2 linked regions of the Daphnia pulex genome follow. The protein of the gene in region 2 interacts with the protein of the main gene of each other region in a biochemical or structural test. Links are inferred from orthologs where the notes say so. Each region holds a gene or a part of one and is shown on either strand. Other genes may lie near its edges. The genes, in order: E3 ubiquitin-protein ligase Siah1-like and F-box-like/WD repeat-containing protein TBL1XR1.

The links.
Region 1: the proteins of F-box-like/WD repeat-containing protein TBL1XR1 (region 2) and E3 ubiquitin-protein ligase Siah1-like form a complex in vitro, tested with the Drosophila melanogaster proteins (2 studies listed by BioGRID). The link is inferred for Daphnia pulex from reciprocal best matches to the Drosophila melanogaster genes ebi and sina.

What each region holds. Positions count from the first base shown.
Region 1 is NC_060018.1:3,697,530-3,707,268, reverse strand, and holds E3 ubiquitin-protein ligase Siah1-like, read left to right. Parts: upstream 1-3,448; 5' UTR 3,449-3,542; coding exon 3,543-3,619; intron 3,620-3,782; coding exon 3,783-3,984; intron 3,985-4,115; coding exon 4,116-4,173; intron 4,174-4,233; coding exon 4,234-4,473; intron 4,474-4,545; coding exon 4,546-4,738; intron 4,739-4,791; coding exon 4,792-4,969; 3' UTR 4,970-5,291; downstream 5,292-9,739. Other genes in the region: peroxisomal membrane protein 4-like, read left to right, coding at 1-145, 220-319; solute carrier family 35 member E1 homolog, read right to left, coding at 434-550, 614-759, 826-925, 1,015-1,095, 1,162-1,243, 1,307-1,407, 1,475-1,545, 1,672-1,833 and 2 more; uncharacterized protein LOC124188473, read left to right, coding at 5,483-5,522, 5,583-5,749, 5,820-5,967, 6,140-6,280, 6,345-6,545, 6,612-6,782, 6,848-7,055, 7,120-7,440 and 3 more; exportin-2-like, read left to right, coding at 8,986-9,070, 9,135-9,739. UniProt on the Drosophila melanogaster protein: E3 ubiquitin-protein ligase that is required for specification of R7 photoreceptor cell fate in the eye by mediating the ubiquitination and subsequent proteasomal degradation of Tramtrack (ttk).
Region 2 is NC_060027.1:3,224,772-3,234,921, forward strand, and holds F-box-like/WD repeat-containing protein TBL1XR1, read right to left. Parts: upstream 6,207-10,150; 5' UTR 6,092-6,206; coding exon 6,034-6,091; intron 5,905-6,033; coding exon 5,759-5,904; intron 5,686-5,758; coding exon 5,526-5,685; intron 5,454-5,525; coding exon 5,182-5,453; intron 5,113-5,181; coding exon 4,951-5,112; intron 4,888-4,950; coding exon 4,705-4,887; intron 4,636-4,704; coding exon 4,561-4,635; intron 4,497-4,560; coding exon 4,039-4,496; intron 3,983-4,038; coding exon 3,952-3,982; 3' UTR 3,838-3,951; downstream 1-3,837. Other genes in the region: pyrimidodiazepine synthase-like, read right to left, coding at 801-932, 1,007-1,122, 1,202-1,340, 1,406-1,628, 1,692-1,797, 1,877-2,015; 60S ribosomal protein L10a-like, read left to right, coding at 2,447-2,451, 2,685-2,840, 3,052-3,200, 3,260-3,432, 3,488-3,658; intraflagellar transport protein 80 homolog, read left to right, coding at 6,395-6,489, 6,572-6,744, 6,810-7,090, 7,185-7,421, 7,488-7,612, 7,748-7,996, 8,056-8,426, 8,554-8,701 and 5 more.

The sequences.
Region 1 (9,739 bases), on a different chromosome or scaffold from region 2:
TACTCTATTTGTTGTCAAGAATTACAGTGGCCTTTGCGAAACTTGCTGTTAAAGAAGGTTATATCAGCAAGCCAAATTTCGAAGTTTGGCCTTGGTTTGCTGCTTTTGTTTGGGGATCGGTTTTGTGGCTTTTCGAATTCCATAGGTATGGATTAAATAACTACATTAAAGCAATAGATTATGAAGGCTAATTTAACTTTGGTTTATAATCTTTTACAGGTGGACATTGCAGGATAGCTTGAGAAGTTCTATGGTCTATCTGTATGATGACTCAGATGTTTTCAGCAATTTGAAGAATTTTCTTTGGCACAATAAGTGAAATCTACAATGAGATTTTAAAAGGTTTCTTAATTATATATAGACTGGGTTTGTTTTGGTATGTGGAATATTAAGAATATATAGGGATATTTTTTTTGTATTTAAACTGTGTACATTATATGTGCTGGAAGCGATTCAGGGCAAACTTGTGACCAACAACCCCTCCGTTGCTATGATCAACGAGAGGTAAAACAGTAAGTTTCTTCTTTTGTAAGTTGGCATCATATTTTGCCTACACGAAATTATATCTCGGTTAATTTCAGGTTATTATGTCGCAATTATATGCTAAGATTACTTTATTGTAGTAGAGAACACCGAAAATGGCAAGTGCCATTCCTGCCACGTTTGTAGAGGTCACCGGATTGCGCAACATGAACAGCGAAAAACTGATCACTGCGATTCGTTTGGAGGCATTGGCCACAGCGTAAGTCAATGGCGTAACTAATAAATAACCCCGAAATAAATTAAAACATGCTTGAGAAATCTCTTTCTAAAAATAATCCCCACCTAAGTGAAGTAAACTGAAGGCCACTACGTTCTGAAGCCAATTTAACAGTCCATCGAGAAAGAGGTAGGTGAAAATCATGAACATATTAGTCTCCGGTTCCTTTAACAATAATAAAAAAAAAAAATTATCGTAAATGTTGTGGCAGAAAAACCATTCATAAAGAGCTTTCTGAACTCCTCGTCACTTACGATGTTTGTGTGTTGAATGATTTTCCATAAATCAAAAATTGCCCACACTGGAGTGAACATCAGTAGAGCAAGTTGGCCTAACTAGAACAAATAATTCATGAAATTAAGCCATGTACCGAACAACCAAACACAATATTAATGTAATACCATGTGAAGGAGTCTCAAATGATGGACTCCAGTGTCGTGTAAGACTTTTTTACTAAAAATATTTTGCAAGCTGAAACCGCACCTAAGTTTGAAAAAAAAAATGTGTCAAATTGGACAATAAATAAGTTAAATTTTCATTTCGTACGTCGCTACTAAAGCACTCCACATTCCGATTACATCGAAAGATATTTCAGTAACGGTAGCTATTGCCACTCCCATGATGATTGGAATCAAAGATAAATAGACCTTGAAATGAAATAAACAGTACATTAATTGGATTACTAAATGTCTAGATGAAGTGAATTAAAATTACAGGTAATGTTTGTTTTTCTCCCATAAGGACCCTGGACAGTACCACTGTGAATAGTGGCATTGAGGCTTTCACTATTATAGTAAACAAATGGGCATTAGCAAAAATAATGTATATATCTTAAAGTACAATCAAGCTTAATTTAAATTCGGTTATTTGTTGATGTATATTTTTATAGGAGCAGTCTACTGGCTTAGTACCTGTGTGGGCAAATGAAACAGGAACCTTCCATATACTAATATGGGAGAAGACCGATGAAAGGAACTTTCCAAATGCAAGAGGGATGATCAATTTCCAATAGTAATCTTTTGAAAAGCTGCTTTGTAGGCCTGGGCGAATATTCCAGCATTTTAGAAGAGGACCTAAGGGAAATTAGGAACAACAAAACTATTTATAAAAAAAACTACAAATTAATAAATTAAATAAATCATTAAATTAAAAACCAGAATAAAGAGAAATGGAGAGCAGCTGGACCATTGTTAATGTCATTGGATAAGGGAATTCGTTTAAAACCCATTTCCCAATTACATTGTTGCTGGATGAGATGAGATACCTTTAAGGAATGGAAAAACAAACTTAAAGCTGACCTGGTTCAGATCAAAATAATTGAAGAAATGGGAGCACAAACCAGAAAACACATAAAATAACAATACGGGTTGCTTCACGTATTTGTCGACGATCCGTCATGATTGATAATCAATTGAACTAACTGTACAACTTATATTACGGTAATATTTTCACTTTCACGTCATTTAATGTAATGTCAAAGTGTGCAAACTTAAGATCAACAAACACACCGAATAGTGATCGGCGTTCCAGCAGCTGAATAAATTATAAAAAAAAATTCCACGTCGGACGAAGCGGTTGCCATGGGAACTAATGTCACTTTAATCTTTCGTTTCATAAATTATTTTGCGGAAATTTTTTTATCTGGAAATTCTTTAAAAAAATTCTTTCAATTATTGACAAAATATTCTTAAGATGTTTCGAATTTTCTTTCATTTATGAGAAATAGAGCAACTTGGGCGTCCCTAAACTGCGAAAGCGAAACGCGAAACGCGAAACGCCTAAAATGCGAAACAGCTGTGCGAAACGGACCAAAATTTTGGAACCGTTTCGCGGGACCAAATGCCGGAGGGCATACTAAAGAGCGAAACATCTTGCGAAACAAATAGTTTTCCTTTTCCCCACAGAGGTCCAAATTGACGGAGATTGCCGCCATTTTTCATTGTCTCCCGCTATGATGAGGCATTAAAGGAGGAAGGGGGGCAATCAAATTCGATTTCTTCGCCACTACCCCTGTATGTTTTAATGCGCATTTTACGATTATTAAACTAATGAAAGACATAGAGCAGCACGATATGGTGATATTTTTAAATAATAAAATATTAGGTAATGGCCCAGGGATTATACATTACATTAAATAATTTTAATCAACCAGTAGATACGTGCACAAAGAAATAATCGGTCATAACAGTATGAGTGCCTTATATCAAGCTAAAAATCAAAGCTACCATGTTCCAAATCAAGCTAAAATTTAATCAACTAAAACTTCCCTTAAAATTAAGAATGTTAATCTGATTGATACTGATACATGGAAACGAGAAGTTCCATAAATTTTTTTATACCAATCTTCTAATTAAAAACACCTATTGCATATTGCATTCAAGGTATTCCGTATTCATAGTCAACACACAAATAGACCAGCCATAAGGTGCGCGAAACTCGAAGTCTCGAAAATTTGAAACTCTTAACAATTTTTTTGTTGACGGCGTCCATTGTCGTCTGCTACCAAGACGTTTACACTGCGACGTTTCGCAAACACCGATTTCGCAGTTTAGTACGGACCCAAAGACTAAAATGCGAAACAGGGTCCCAACTTTTGGGTCCGTTTCGCACAGCTGTTTCGCATTTTAGGCGTTTCGCGTTTCGCGTTTCGCTTTCGCAGTTTAGGGACGCCCGAGCAACTTGCAGTCAGCTGCCTGCTCAAGATACTGTTTAGCCGTCCTTATTTTATTTACTCAATGTTGTCAACGAAGAACCCTTGTTGAGATCACGGAGGCCACCTTCTATGCCTAAAAACAACAGTAAATTCTATACTGAATTAATAAGAACGTTTCCAACATCCTGCAGTGATTCTAATCTCAGGTTTGTTGTGATTTTCATGAAATAAGCAGATAGGATATTAATGAGAGAATGAACTTTAAACATGATAAAAAAGATGGTTTAGTTTCTCCATTTTTGTCTGGCTAATACCACCTCATGTTGTGTTAACAAGTGTGTGAGAATGTATTGTTTTTGTTTTGATCAGCAGGATGAGTTTTCTCAAGCAAGAAGGTTCCAAAAGTCGTTCAAGTATTTCAAGTATTTCTTCATCCACATCCACACTTGGCTCTGGATCAGTCTCTGGTTCTACAGTAGCTTCCTCAGCAGACTTGGCTAGCTTCTTTGAATGCCCAGTTTGTTTCGAGTATGTTCTTCCACCAATCCTACAATGCCCAAGTGGTCATCTGGTATGATTTTGTGTGTTTTCTTGTTACATAAATATTTTAGACCATCAACTAAAATTTCTCAAATATTCTTCTTTCATTACCTAAAAAAGTAGATTTCATTGACTAAATAATAATTTCAAACAATTGTGTAGGTCTGTTCCAACTGTAGACCAAAACTCACCTGCTGCCCAACCTGCAGAGGACCCTTAGGTAGAGATTGACCAGAACAAATATTTAGTGCCCAATTCTTAAATAAATGTTGATATTTAGGCAATATAAGAAATTTAGCTATGGAAAAAGTGGCTTCCACAGTTTCTTTTCCTTGCAAATTTTCTACTTCTGGATGCCAGTTTACAATGTTGCACACAGCTAAAGGAGATCATGAAGAGACTTGTGAATATCGACCTTATTCTTGTCCGTGTCCGGGGGCGTCCTGTAAATGGCAAGGAGCTTTAGAGCAAGTAATGCCCCATTTGCTCAATCAACATCGATCTATCACGACTCTCCAAGGTTGATACATTTTTTAAAAAACATTCAATCCAACATTTATTAACTATTGATTTTAAACTTGTTTTGTTTCAGGAGAAGATATTGTTTTTTTAGCAACAGATATCGCACTCCCCGGCGCCGTCGACTGGGTTATGATGCAATCTTGTTTTGGTCACCATTTTATGCTAGTGCTGGAAAAGCAAGAAAAATATGACGGGTTGCAACAATTTTTTGCTATCGTCCAATTGATTGGCACAAGAAAGCAGGCCGATAACTTTGCCTACAGGTACGTTCTAAAACTCCAATATATTTCATTGACTCATGCGTTAATTATCTTAGATTGGAATTGAGCGGTCACCGTCGACGGTTAACGTGGGAAGCGACGCCACGATCCATTCACGAAGGCGTATCTTCCGCCATTCTAAACTCGGACTGCCTCGTTTTTGACACCTCTATCGCCCAGTTGTTTGCTGAAAACGGCAATTTGGGTATCAATGTTACCATTTCTATGTGTTAATTTACTCCGAATTTGAGAGACACTCATTATTTTCTCTCGCCAAATAAGTTTGGTTGTGCTAATTAATTTCCTTTTTTCCCCCGTCGAAATGACAATGGCTCATTTTTAAAAATCGTGTTTCCCGTCTTTCGCATGTGTGTTACCGTATGTGCATGGACATCACAATTCGCGAACAAGTGAAACAAAAAAACTGTTGTAAACGACCGTTTCCCTTCCCCTCTTTCATTAATTTTTTTTTTGTTCGAACAGAATTTTCTCTCATGTTGCCTTGTACAGTTTTGCTATTGCGATCAATGATCAATTATACGGCTCCATGTTCAAACGAAGCAATTCGTCAATTTACGCAATTATACGATAAGATTATGTTTCATGGTGTGCGATGAATATGTGATAATGTAGGTGACGACCATGGTGTCAGGATCTGATAAGAAAAGGTCTCAGTGCCATTTTTTCCTCAAGTGATAACTGAGATATTTTTATAATTGTAGATTGTGACGCACAGTTGAAATCGAAATGGCGACGAGGATGTTGTTAATAATATGCCTGCTTTATGGTAAGACGAATAAGATATTTAAAATTTTCTTTTGTTCTAAACGTTTTGTGTTTGCTTTAGTGGGATTGACTGGAGCAGAAGATATTGATTTTGGTGACCCGAACACTTGTACTCTTCAAAATAAGGAATGTCAAGTAGACTTGAAGGTAGATTGTCAGAGTGAACTGTCTGGATTTATACAGACTCCCAATTTTCCAACCAATATGAATAATGCCCAATCCGGAAAGGTAAAGAAATCAAGAACCGGGTTTCATGTATTTTATTGCATACATAATTTATTTTTAACAATTGTTCTAGTACCGACTAACAATTTCATCGTGTGAAAATTCACAAATTACCTTGATCCTGACGGACGAGGATTTTTTTCTGGGACCAGATACTAACACATTTTCGGTCGGTAACGGTCTTGTAATTGGTGCTAACAATATCCCACCGGAGCTGAGGGGTAAGGAATCCAATCTTTATAGATAGAATATACTACTAAATATATTATAGATTTCAATAATCGCCGCTTGTAACCAAGTTGATCCCCAAAAAACACAATCGCACAAATTTCATCAGGTTGATGGGTTGTTCATGTAGTCTACGATATTACCTAAAAATAAGGTTGTTATTAGGTTCTAGTGACGGTGGAAACGAGCTACCAAATGGTGATCCGACCTATGAGTATGAAAGTGCCTCCAATGAACTGTGGATGGAGGCCAACCTGATGGCATATCGGTCAAACTTCAAAATCCAATACAACATTACAGTCTTGAGTATAAACATATATTATTTGATTTGCATTGACAATTTCAAATTAAATTATATCCTTATTTATAGCTTCAAATATCCACAATTATAACGAAACGTCAGGAAATATGACTTCTCCCGGTTATGGAATATCTTACCCATCTCAAACAACAGAAGATATACATGTGATTGATGTCACAGATGTGGCAGGGGAATATGTGGACCTGTTACTCACAGTTAATGTACTGGACATTGCAGGCATCAACGGGGACTACATCACACTTGGACCTGGTTATTCTCCTAGTTCTTGCATATTTATTGTATTTAAAAAAATTCGTATTTTTCGCTTCGTTACAGGGTCGGAACCTTCGGTTGATAAGAGCGCAGTTGTCCTCTCGTGGCGTGTTACCAAAGGAGTTCAATTTTTGATTGATGGACCTAAAGCTCATTTAGTTTTTAATGTTTTACGACCCGCCGACGCTGAACAGGTTTCCGCAAAAGGATTTTTCATCTCCTACCAAGTGATTGGTAATTACAACACCAGTAGTTGATGGTGACGGTAAAATATAAATTTTTTTGTTTCAATTATATAGAAAAGAATTTGACAACAGCAGCGCCCATGACCACACCTATGCCTACAAGCCCCACGCCTTTGCCATTTGATCCAGATATCCTTTTAACTGATGTCGTCTACCACACATATGTGGGCGCCGAAGCATCTTCACAGCTGGCAGAAATTTTGCAGATGTATGCCGAGTCATCTGGAATGCTGGAAAAAGGCGAAATAGTTCCTAATTTAACGTAATAAGCGATTTTTCTTCTATTCCATTGTTCATGAAATATTGAATTAAATTGTTTTCCTTAGTGCTGTCGGTACTGTCCAAATAGTTCAAGTTGAGAACTGTTATCATGGATGGAATGTCGATATGGACATCTGCGGTCTGACGCATGTGATTGTCCGCGCGTTTTACCAAAAAACAGGAGAGACTGATGTCACTTACGCCTTTCCGACCGAAGAAGTAAAAAAAGCTGTAAGGGAGTATGGCTACATTCACGAAGTCGTCCTGCCAGAAGACTTGGCCAACTTGTACTGGATCTTTGTTGGTGTCGTCCTCATTCTAATTATTTTAATCCTCATTGGGTTATTAATTGTCTGGCGGCAAAAAATGCGTCGTGACGCTAAAAAGTAACAACATTTTTCATTAGATATTTTTGAAATTACCGTAGACATAATTATTTTAATCATTTATGATTATTTAATTTTTTTTGGGTTAGGCGAAGAAAGTATCACGAAATAAAAAATGATAATCATTCCGTAGGTGCCGACAGTGACATTTCTATCACAGGCGTTGGCAAATCAAGTCGCTTCGAAATGAATTCTGGTGTTGATAATCCAAATTTCGTTATTGACGTAAGTTGTTGGCAACACATTTATTGTGTTTATCCTGAATTCAAACTCATTCGTTAATTTAACAGGAACAAGAAAATGGTCGCCCCGTAATGGTTTACGATCCGGAGAAAGGAACATTTTATTCGCGAAACAGTCACAGACCTACTTATCAAGTAAGAAATGTGGATCAGGGACCAGCTCGATCAGCGGCTGTACTGAATGTTTCACCCATCACCAGCGGTTTCCAACGGCAGAATGGAAGCAATAGAGATCAAATAGCGAATGAGGGAAACGATATGTCATCTATCATGCCACCACTTCCCACCGTACCTAAACGTGGAATCTTGAAGACTAAATCTAGCAGCAGTCCGACCAACCGCGAGTTTCCCAACATTTCTTCTATTCCAATGGAAGAGATGGAAGATGTTGTATTCGACAACGATACCTTTAAAAACATGCAACAACGTCGATACTCTCCTGCGTCTTCATCGTCGGATACGATAACATCTTCATCAAGGTCTAGTAGAGTGAACTCCATCTCCACGGATCAACAGTATGAATTGCATGATGTTGTACAATTTTAAAACAATATTCGTACATTCTTTGTTTCAGGATTGGATCACATGTTTTGTACGGTATCACATTGACGGATTTTGATTCAGAAGAAGAAATTGAAACTAATTTTTAAAAACAATTTAATAATCAACGCCTTATTATGACGCCTTATTATTTTATTATTATTTTTACTTATTCGTCTTTAAGAGGCCCATTTTTAGAATTGTAATTGATTTTCGCAGACAAGACATTTAATAAATCAAATAACTGAATTGAATTTTACTGTTATTAGTTCGAATTCGTGTAAAAAATAGTAATTTCGTAATTTCCCGCTTTACGCCATCTAGGTAGTGGTTATGTCATTACGTCTGTAAAACATTTTCTATTTCCACCGACAGGCAGAAAACTTCGTTCAGACGATTTTTAAATCTAGAGAAGTCATTTTCAACCGTTCACTCACAAATTTTCAGTAAGTTATTTTATTATATTCGTCGGAATTACAATAGGAATAAGTTTGTATGAATGTTTTGTTGATAGATGTGCTTAGAAGTAGTTGTCAGGTGAGACAAAGTATTTTTAAAATCATTCTGGTTATTTCTATTTGACCATGTGCTATAGTCATGCACAACTTAAATAGGGAAGTAAATTAAAACTAAATCAGTTGGTTGTAACATCGGTACATCTTTTAATAATTTCCCTCCGAAATTCTGAATGATGTTTCAGTGTCTTATGAGCCTCATACTGAAATGATGATTCACGATTTTCTTGTATTCTTGTGTGACAGGAATGGAGATCAATGATGCAAATTTATCAGAACTATTAGGTCATCTTCAAAAGACGCTATCACCTGATGGAGTTACGAGAAAATCAGGTATATTGCACAATTATTCTTTGTATTGACATAAATGCATGATTAATGTTTTTTTCATCAATAGCTGAAAAATGCCTTGAAAGCATTGAAGGAAAACAAAATTACCCACTGCTGCTTTTAAATTTGGTGGATAAAGATGGTGTTGACATGACACTGAGAACAGCTGGAGCTGTGACATTCAAGAATTACATTAAACGAAATTGGAAGGTTGAAGAAGATGCAGTAGATAAAATCCATCACTCTGATCGGGAAACTGTCAAACAGTTTATCATCAATTTAATGCTCAAAGCTCCTGAATCTATTCAACGCCAGCTCAGTGACGCTGTTTCAATTATTGGTCGTGAAGATTTTCCTGCAAAATGGCCAAATTTAATTCAAGAAATGGTGGACAAATTTGGCACGGGTGACTTCCACGTTATTAACGGTGTGTTGCATACTGCCCATTCCATCTTTAAACGTTATCGCTACGAGTTTAAGTCTCAAGAATTGTGGACTGAAATCAAATTGGTTTTGGATAACTTTGCCAAGCCACTGACAGACCTGTTTATTACGATGATGGGTTTGGCTGCGCAACATGCTAATAATCCGGCAGCTGTAAAGGTCATCTATAATTCCCTGACCATCATTTGCAAAATTTTCTATTCGCTGAATTTTCAAGACTTACCCGAG
Region 2 (10,150 bases):
GAGCGCGATTTGACAACCAAAAAGCTATTCTCGAACTCGAAAAATCCGCACTAATGAATGCGGTTAACCTCGCTAAAACGGAAACCGACGAAAAGTCCAGACTTTTGGATGGAGCAAAAAACGAGTTATCCATCTCGAAAGCTCAATGTAATCAAGAAAAATCCGCGGTCATGGAAGTAGACCAAAAGATTCTGGAATTAGAACGATAATTAAACTTGTGCAAAGAAGATTTCAAAACTTTGGCGGAACAATCTCACAATAAAAAAGAACTGCTATTGAAATTAACCGATGAGAAAAATGAAGTTGCACAGTCTGCAGCCACTGCCCGACAACAAGCTGAAGCTCTTGTCACTGAACAAGCTGCAGCACTGACTGAAGCTCTGAAAACATTGAAACAAGCTGTAAGACGTGCGAAAGAGGAAGCACAATCTGATTTGTCAAGACCGGAAGATAAAGAAGATCCGGTTGGAATAAATGAAACTTTAGAGGAATGGTTAGTCAAACATGGTTTGTTAACTAGAGTACCTCCAAAGACTTGGATCCAATTACTGGAGCACTCTGGGTTTTTGATAGAAGAAAAGGCTTCGCATCTCCGAGAAAAAGCTGATAGTCTCTTCCATCATGATCCTGAAGCAGGCGACCACGCAAACAACCAGAATTAAGATACGTTTTGAAACAACCGTAGGGAAGAGATGCTTATTTAAAATGTTTGTGGTCTGAATACTTCCAGTTTAATCTTCCTGATTAAGCATTAACTGTATACTTTCCATTTTGGAATAAAAAAATTTGTCTTAACTACTTTATTTATTGATTTCCATGTCATATTCCGGATTCCCAGCTAGAAAACTTGTAATAAATTTTGCGTGATTTTCAGGAGAAATGAAACTTTCTTTGACCGCATCGTCTTCTTTCATGGCATCAAACCACTTTATCTGTTGTTAAAATTATTTTTGTATGATGAAAAATCACTACACACATGCTGTAATGGTCTTTAAAAATTATTTACCAAAGAAGGATAATTTTCCATTTGAACTTTTAGCATCCCATGGCTCAAAATAGGCAATGAAGGCAATCTCTCCATCCAAGGCCATATCATGTAATCTACAATCCCAGGATTCTGACCTAGAATCAAATCATTTTCATGAATTTATTTAAAAATAAAAATTAATAAAAAAAATTCAGCTAAATGAAATCTACCTACCTCCAAAAAATTTTATTTCTCGTTTTGCTAGGTCATCTTCGAAAATCTGTAAACCCTTGTGGATACCAACAATTGCTCCTTTCCAAGTGGACTCATCATCCAAACTACAGCGGTATAGTTTATATAAGTTACTATTGACCTAATGATTTGAGAATATGTATCATTTTCAAAGAAAGTATTTGAATAAAAACAATTTTTTAATACCGCATTGAACATTTCAATCAAAATCCTGTCTTGTGCCTTGCGAAAAGGATCAGTACTGTTCAGCATTGGTGAACTAGGATACACTTCATCAAGATAGTCGCAAGTGATTAAACTTTCAAATATCACTTTCCCATCAAATTCCAAGCAAGGAACTTTGCCAAGTGGATTTCTAGCAAAATACCAATCAGGCTTTGCAACCAAGTTTATATTTACAACCTCATTTCTGAAAAAAACAAAGACAAATGATGGAATAATTTTTGGGGTATTTACAAAAACATTGGCTTACGGAATTCTTTTGGCAGCTAAAACTAGTCTGGTCCGCTGAGCATATGGGCAGAATTTCATATTATACAATCGCATCAGACCTGGTGTTACTTCAGGACATTTTGAGCCTATTGTCAATCACAATGAAAATATCACACAATGTTGCTGGGATGTCATGTAAAGCAATTAATATCAAGTCAAGGTTACCTGGAGCAAGATGTTTGGTTTCAGAAATAGGAAAAAATACTCCACTCATGTTGTTGTTTGATCTAAACCAAGTTTTCGAACACAGAAAGATTTCAGATTTCTCTACCGCCCTCTTCGCGAACGTTCTAAGAATGGACATGAAACTTTAGCTGATAAGTAAGTTGTAAAGGCTATAAAGGCCGATTGTTTATTGATATTGGACTGCGCAATTTAGCTTTCTTTTAAATTCAGCCCGCCAGAGCAATACTACCGCTACCGGTACCTGAAGCTGCCTGAAGCATCCTGAAGCTGTCTGCTACTGCTTTAAATGTGGAAAAAGGTCACGATTACCTAAAAAGTAAAATATAAAAATATAACATAAATAATAATCGGAATTTTAAAAACCAATCCGTATATTTTAAACTAAGAATGATACTATTTCAAAATAACTTTATGACATTTCTTCTTTTGATTTGGCAACTATGAGGGAAAGGAAGAGAAGAAGAAGGACATAAAGATATCCGACAACATCTAAGTTCGGTCCTTCATTTGGAAGCGTTTGTTCCAAGGGACTTGCCAAGGCACTTCACCATGTCGTAAGTTATCGTTTTTAACGTAAAACATCTTTTAATTTTAAACTATTGTTTATTGTTGGTTGGATTAAGCGTTGAAGTAGCTGTTGGCAAACTATTGTATTATGTTAAAAGTCAAAATCCTGTGCTATTTAAAAAATTCATTAAAAGTCAACACGGTCGACATTTGGTTTCTCTGCATGGAATGGCGTGTTCGGTTTTCAATATGTTTGCATTCATTTATATTTTTTGCACAGGTCCAAGGTATCTCGTGATACGCTGTACGAGGCTGTCAACAACATGTTGTCGCAGTCTAAAGAGAAGAAGAGGAAGTTTACCGAGACTGTTGAAATTCAATTTGGTCTCAAGAACTACGATCCCCAAAAGGATAAGCGTTTCTCCGGAACCGTCAAGTAAGAACTACAAACCCACATTGTTGGGGAGTTGGACTTTAGTCTGACGATGACCCTCACCCAGGGTCATTTTAAATATGTGGGGAGGAATTTTGACGCAAGTCAATTTTCCAAACATTATGCAAGGTTTTATGCCTTGTGGTTGGTATTTGGAATGGCTTGGGTTTTAGTATAAGGTAGAGTCAAATTGTTAATTGTCATATCTCTTCAGGCTTAAGCACATCCCCAGGCCTGCTATGAAAGTATGCATCTTGGGAGACCAGCAGCATTGTGATGAGGCCAATGCCAACAACCTTCCTTGCATGGATGCTGAGGCTTTGAAGAAGCTTAACAAGAACAAGAAGCTTGTAAAGCAATTGGGTAGGTTTTGATACCTTTTTCAAGTGAAGCGTAACTAATCCATCACTTTCTTCATACAGCCAAGAAATATGATGCTTTCCTCGCCAGCGAGGCCCTTATCAAGCAGATTCCTCGTTTGTTGGGCCCTGGCTTGAACAAGGCTGGCAAGTTCCCTGGTCCTCTCACCCACTCTGATTCTATGGTTCAGAAGGTGGAAGAAGTCAAGGGCACCATCAAGTTCCAGATGAAGAAGGTATGTTGGTACAACTAGTAGATTTTCGACACGAACTAAACGTATCCATGTATAGGTCTTGTGTCTCTGCGTTGCTGTCGGACACGTCACCATGTCTGCTGACGATTTGGCCCAAAACATCCATTTGTCCATCAACTTCTTGGTTTCGCTGCTCAAGAAACACTGGCAGAACGTTCGTTCCATTCACATCAAGACCACCATGGGAGTTCCTCAGCGCTTGTACTAGTTGTACCACGCATGTGATTGTTTGCAAATAAACGTGAACAATTCGCGAAAGAAACTTTTGTTGTTTAAATGTCTTTAAAGTTAAATAATAAGATAAAAATAATTCATTAAAATATTTGAAAATAATTGTTTAATTTATAGAAATTAAAACCTTAAATAAACCTTCAAATTTATCCATATAAATTGAAATTTTTTATTTTGTTTTTCCTTAAATGATACAAATGATGTAATGAACCTTAAAGATAATAAGAATCATGAAACAACTGGAATTGCAGAAAATGTTGAAGCGTTGAATTATTTATTTTCGCAAGTCCAAAACAAATACCTAGAAATGAAAAAAAATTAAAACAAATCGAATGAGTTAGAAAAAACCAAACTTACACTTCCGTCAGAAGCACTTGCTCCAACTTTATCGCCCCGAGAATTCCAGCAAACTTCAAAAATGCCTCCAGTTCCTTTGTAACTGTGTAACAATTGCCCCGACTAAGAAAAATAGAATAAAGATGTAGTTTGTTTAGGTTTTCAACTTTGAAACTATTATGTACCTGAGTAGACCAGATGTGTACACATTTGTCAAAGCTACCAGATGCTAGGTATTTGCCATCGGGAGAAAATGCGACACTGTACACTGGTTCGGTGTGCTTGGTTAAGGTATGAATACACAACCCACGCTCGACGTCCCACAATCGAACGGTCGAGTCAAACGAAGCGCTAGCCAAAATCAGATTCATGTTTGGGTTATTTGTTCCAGGGCCGGTAGGACTCCATTTTATGGTGTAGATTTCCTTGTTGTGTGCTTGCAAATCATGAACACAAGTGTCTTGTTTCATGGACCATATCTAGGAAAAGGATCGGACACATTTGATTTGATTGTCTTTTGACAAGAATGAACTTGCACATTACCTTGAGCGTCATATCGTCAGAACAGGAAGCCAAAAGATTACCCTGAGGATCCCACTTAATAGCGTTTACTTCATTCTAGAGAAATAAAAAATATTCCTTTTTTAATCATTCACAAATTCGCAAGAGAAATTAGAATATTGTTACCGTATGTCCTTGGAAGGATTTGGTTGGCTTGTCACTGCCCAACTTACAAACATGAATACACTGGTCAGTGGAGCATGAGGCAAAACTGACATTCGACTGCCAATCTACGTCGAGTGCTGGGGCGGAATGGAAAGCAAACTGCTGCGTGCACTGGCCCGTTGAAGCGTCCCAAATGATGGTCGTCTAATGAAAGAAATACATAAATATCAACAGTTTTCGTTTAAAAAAATATAAACTTAGGTCTACTTTGTCGACTCCAGCACTGAGGATATAGTTGCCCTTTTTGTTCCATTTTAGTGCGAAAATAGGTCCTTTATGCTGTCCCAGAGTGCTAGCTAATCTTCCATCAGTTGTCCAAATGCGAGCATAACCATCGTAAGAGCCAGTTGCAAGAAGAGTTCCATCACACTAAAAAAAAAAGAACACTGTTATTACACAGCCAACTATTTGGCGCTTAAGGTATAAGAAATAACATACATTCCAGTCAAGTGAGGTGACATCTTTGTTGCTCGGAACTTCAGTTCCACCCTTCTGAATGCAATGCCTAAGAACAAGTTGAGTTGGTGAAGACGAGTTGTCATTCATGTTCCAAATCCTGGCAGTACTATCGCCAGAGCCGGAAGCCAATAAATCAGTTGTCGGGTTCCAAGCGCAGATGAAAACTTCAGATTCATGGCCACGAAGTACAGTTGATTTGCTGGCAGGTATCTCTACTCCTGTTTCCTCTTCCCGGCCTTCATTGGGGTTGGCTAATAAGAAATAGTTAAAGGGAAAATAAGTAAGCAGTTCAGGGGATCAAGGAAAAGTATTGACTATCTTACGATAGGAATGCATGGGTTCATCTCCATTGGAATTTGGTGGTTCTGTCTTTACCACTTGTGGTTTCTGATTGTTCTGCATTTGCTGTTGACGACTTGCAACAACATCAGGCATCACAGCATCAATGAGTGATAAGCTTTCCATGGGTCGTTCAGAACCATCCTGAAAACCAAAAATATAAAAGAGTAAAAATGTTGTGATAGACAAACTTTATCATATTTCAATTGTCACACACATCTCCAACACTGATCTCAGCTTCTGTGTATTGTAAACCCTTCTGGATGATGGAGAGAAGGGCTGCTGGCGGTACCAAAGCTCCATTGATGTTGGATTGTGAAATATGCGACTCTATGCCAAAGGTGTAAGCAGAATGCTGAAAACCTATTTGAAAGAAACGACGCAGTTGTTAAATGCACTTGTCGAAATACTGCATCCAGTAAAAACTCATCACAGTGACCATTCCCATGGACAGTCGACTTAAAAACCCAAACGAAATGGTGATGCTCTTACCGGATTCTTGCAAATATCGGTACACCAAGAAATTAACTTCATCACTTGAAAAACTCATTTTTTAAAACACAAACATAGTAGAGAAAAATTACTAAGTTATTTATCAAAGCGATTCTTTTTTCGCTTTTTTTTTGCAAGCTTGCAGGACTCGGCTTGAGGTTGCGCTAAAGAGCTTCTCCGAGAATCCTTCAAAGTCACCGTTAGCTAACGCCATCTATGACCAGAAAACCAAAATTGGATAGAAAAATAGTAACCGTAACCCGTAACAACCGATTTCAAGCACAATCACAAACACACGTTAAAAAGAAAAAACAAATTTACCACTTTCAAGTGTAACGCTACAAGCTACAAACGTGTAAGCATGCACTTACACGACAGAGCAGCCATATCGTCCGTTCTCCCGGAAAATATTTTGTTCATCGAATGGAATTCTCAAATCGAATACTTCACGTACAGGTTGGTATAGTAAAGCACCAAATCGGTCGTTTAATTTAACCTAACAATTAAATTAATTGTTTTCTCCTGTCAAACGCGTTAGTGATGATCTGAAAATACACTCGTGGGATGGCTCCGCCAAGGACAGTTCAGCCAAGACGATCACGCTGAATAAAGGCACTCACATTTTGGATATAGACTGCATGAATATCAGTCAGCAGAGCATCGACCAACGCAAAAGATCCAGTGAAATGTTTGCCATTGGAACATCAGATGGTAACAAGCTATTTTCCCCAATTATTTCATTTAAAAAAAAATTATTCGAACGTTTTTCTCCACAGGAAAATGTTACATAATGCACAAGTCGGGCCGAACGGAGAGGGTTATTGATGCTCACAAAGGAGCAGTCATGAATGCCAAATGGAATCACGATGGCACAAGCTTACTGACATCAGGCGAAGATGGCCAACTCAAGATATGGTCCAGAAGTGGAATGCTGAGGAGTACGCACACACAAGCGGATTCGCCCATCTACTCGGCTGTCTGGTCCCCATTCTCTACCGGTGTTCTCTACTCTTCCGGCAAACTGATGACCATCCAGTCCTTTGCAACCACCAGTAAGGTCAGATAAACATTTAGCGTATATCTCAACGAATAACTTGCCAAGAATTTGTTGTAATTTTCAAAACTAAATCACGATGAAATAACTGTACTAGACTCTGCAGTGGAAAGCCCACGACAGCGTTGTCCTAGTGGTGGCCTGGAGTTCGATATCGCATTTAATCGCTAGCGGTAGTGAAGATTGCCACTTTAAGATTTGGGATCCCGTGGGCCAGCTGTTGTTCAACAGCGACCCTCGACTCCATCCCATCACGTCGATCGCCTGGTCGCCAGACGGAGCCTTCTGCGCTTTCACGACATTTTCATCCGTCTGCGTCTCATCCGCTTACGGGGTATCTAAATCTTTCCGCCTATTATGCCTTTTAATTACTCACATGAAATGTTTGATTGACACACAGAGCGATATTCTCGAGGGCTCTATGGAGGGCGATGGAATTTCGAGCGTCTGTTGGTCACCGGAAGGATCCCAGTTGGTGGTGGGGAATTCGACTGGAAGAATCCAAATATCTCATCTGGTCAAAGGGTGTGTATATACGCAAAGTAAAAAATAAAAATAATCCATGCTCCGCTATAATCCATCATTTTCCGATTCGAGTTTTTGTTGGGGGGATTTTTAAAAACTTGACAGATTAATGAATGTTGAATGAAAATCCCATAGGGGGCTGACTTGGGGAAACTATCACGTGACCAAGATGGCTCCCAACACTCTGGAATTGCGTGATCATTTCAACGAGACGGTCGAGCTGCTCGAATTCAGAGACGACGTCCTCCTCTGGTCCTTCAACTACGGCCATTTCCTGGTGGCCAGCCAGACGCATTGCCTCATCCACAAAGAGAACGGCTGGAACAGTCCCATCACCGTCGAATTGCGGGACAAGTGTCCGCAGTTCATCAAACAAACGGAAAAGTAAATTAAAAAAAAAAATTTAATCAAATTGAATGAAACGACATGATTCATTGGCTCAGATATTTCCTGATAATGGATTGCGGCATCCTATACGTCTTCTCGTACGACGGAGCCCTGCAGGGAACGCCCAGGATCTCCAATCAGCGGCTGACGATGCTGACGGCCGATCACGTCACGGCCGCCAAAGAGGTGATAGCCGCCCGTAGTCCCAGCGACGGCAAATCGATCCACTGCTGTCACTACCGCACCGGCAAGCCCGTCTACGGCGACAAGCCGCTGGCCCACAGCGGAGGACAAGTGACCAAGCTGGAACTGGATCCCGGCTCACCGTCGGGGGATCAGCTGTTGGCGTTCACGGACACGGCCCGCGACCTTCACCTGCTTTCATTATCGTCGGGCCTCAACCGAGTCCGTTCTTCTCTCAAAATTGGTAGTTGAACGATTATACGAGTGATCAATCACCAGCAGCAGCCAACCCTGACCCAACCGAGTTCGCCGTTTTATTCTTCCGACTGATGTATAACTGTTTTTCCTTCTTTTCTTTTCTTTTTTGGCAGCTGGAGGTGTGACGTCGTTCGCCTGGAATTGCGATTGTTCCATGCTGGTTATGGTTAGAGAAGAGGAACTGTGTGTGGTGCCTTACCCGCCGGCCGTGCCCAACGATCCAGCATTACTCGAAAAGTTCACCATTCGTCAAAACATCCGGTACGTGTCAGTTGGTCCAAACCAAAAACCAAATATCTCGCAAATTTTAAAATGAATTCGAATTTTAAATCAGAGAATACGGAAAGCACGTTACGATCGAGAGCTTTACCGGACACCAGGTGACGCTGCAGCGTGGCGATGGGCTCACCTTTCCCGTCTACCTGTCGCCTTATCCGTCCAAGTTGCAGCAATTCGTGTCCAACGGCCAATGGGATAGCGCCCAGCGACTCTGCAGTTCCATCAAGGTAGTATATTTTTCCTAACGACAGATTGATGCCCAGTATCTAATATTCTAACACGTTGATACTTTGTCTTTTTGTACGCACGGATGAAGATGGAAATTCTGTGGGTCTGCCTGGCGGCCATGGCCGTGCATTATAAGCAGTTGGACGCCGCCCAGGTAGCTTTCGCAGCCCTTCGTGAGACGGATAAGATCCTCTACGTCGACGCTATCAAAGTAAAACATAGATTTGCGTGCTGCTTCTTCTCTTTCCCATTCACTCAAGTTGTAAAACGATTTTTCTTTTTTTCTTTTTCGAACCGTCTAGAAGATGAACAACGTGGCCATGATCAAGGCGGAGACGGCCCTCCTGCAGAACGGACGGACTGAAGCTGAAACTATCCTGCTCCAGGCTGGACTGCCTCTCAAAGCCATCATGTTGAATTTGCAGCTGTTCCAGTTCGAAAAGTGGGCCACTCCTCAGTTTTTTTATATTCTAATTTGCGCAACATCCGACTTTTTTTTTAATTGAACAAAAAACAAAAAAATCTTTTTCTTTTATCCAATTGGGCAGAGCTTTAGAGCTGGCGGTCAAGCACGATTCCAACATCGACGTGGTGGTCGCCTATCGGCGCAAATACCTGGAGCAATTCAGCTGGACCGAGACCATTCCCCGCTTCATCGAATACGCCAAGAAAGTAATATACGCGCACATACTACTACACTACTCGAAAATCATTAGATCGGATTATACAATTAATGATTCAATAACCCGGATATTATTACGTTACTATACTATTCTTATATAGCTGATGGGCAGACTGAATCTTACAAGATTTCTTTTGGGTCTCTGGCAATAGGTCGACATAGACTGGGATGCCATTGAAGAAAAGCTCATGGACGAATGATGATGATGATGACCCTGGCAGAGTGTAGAAATAATTCCACCACCACCAAGATTTACATACCAACTTGACTCTGCTGATGCCACTGCCCGTTGATGGAGCGTTGCATGCGCCAAAAGAATAGACAAACCACGCAGGCTCATTTTCTGACGAGTCACGAGTATTTACATGCAACAATACAAACGTTTGTGTGTGTGTGTAGTTTCTCCTACAACACAGAACCCAACATTTCCCGCAGCTCGTGCTTTCAATTCATCGGCGTCGTTTATATGAAGACATTTCACAAAAGAGCTAGACGGCCTCCGTGCGGTCGCCAGTGACCCA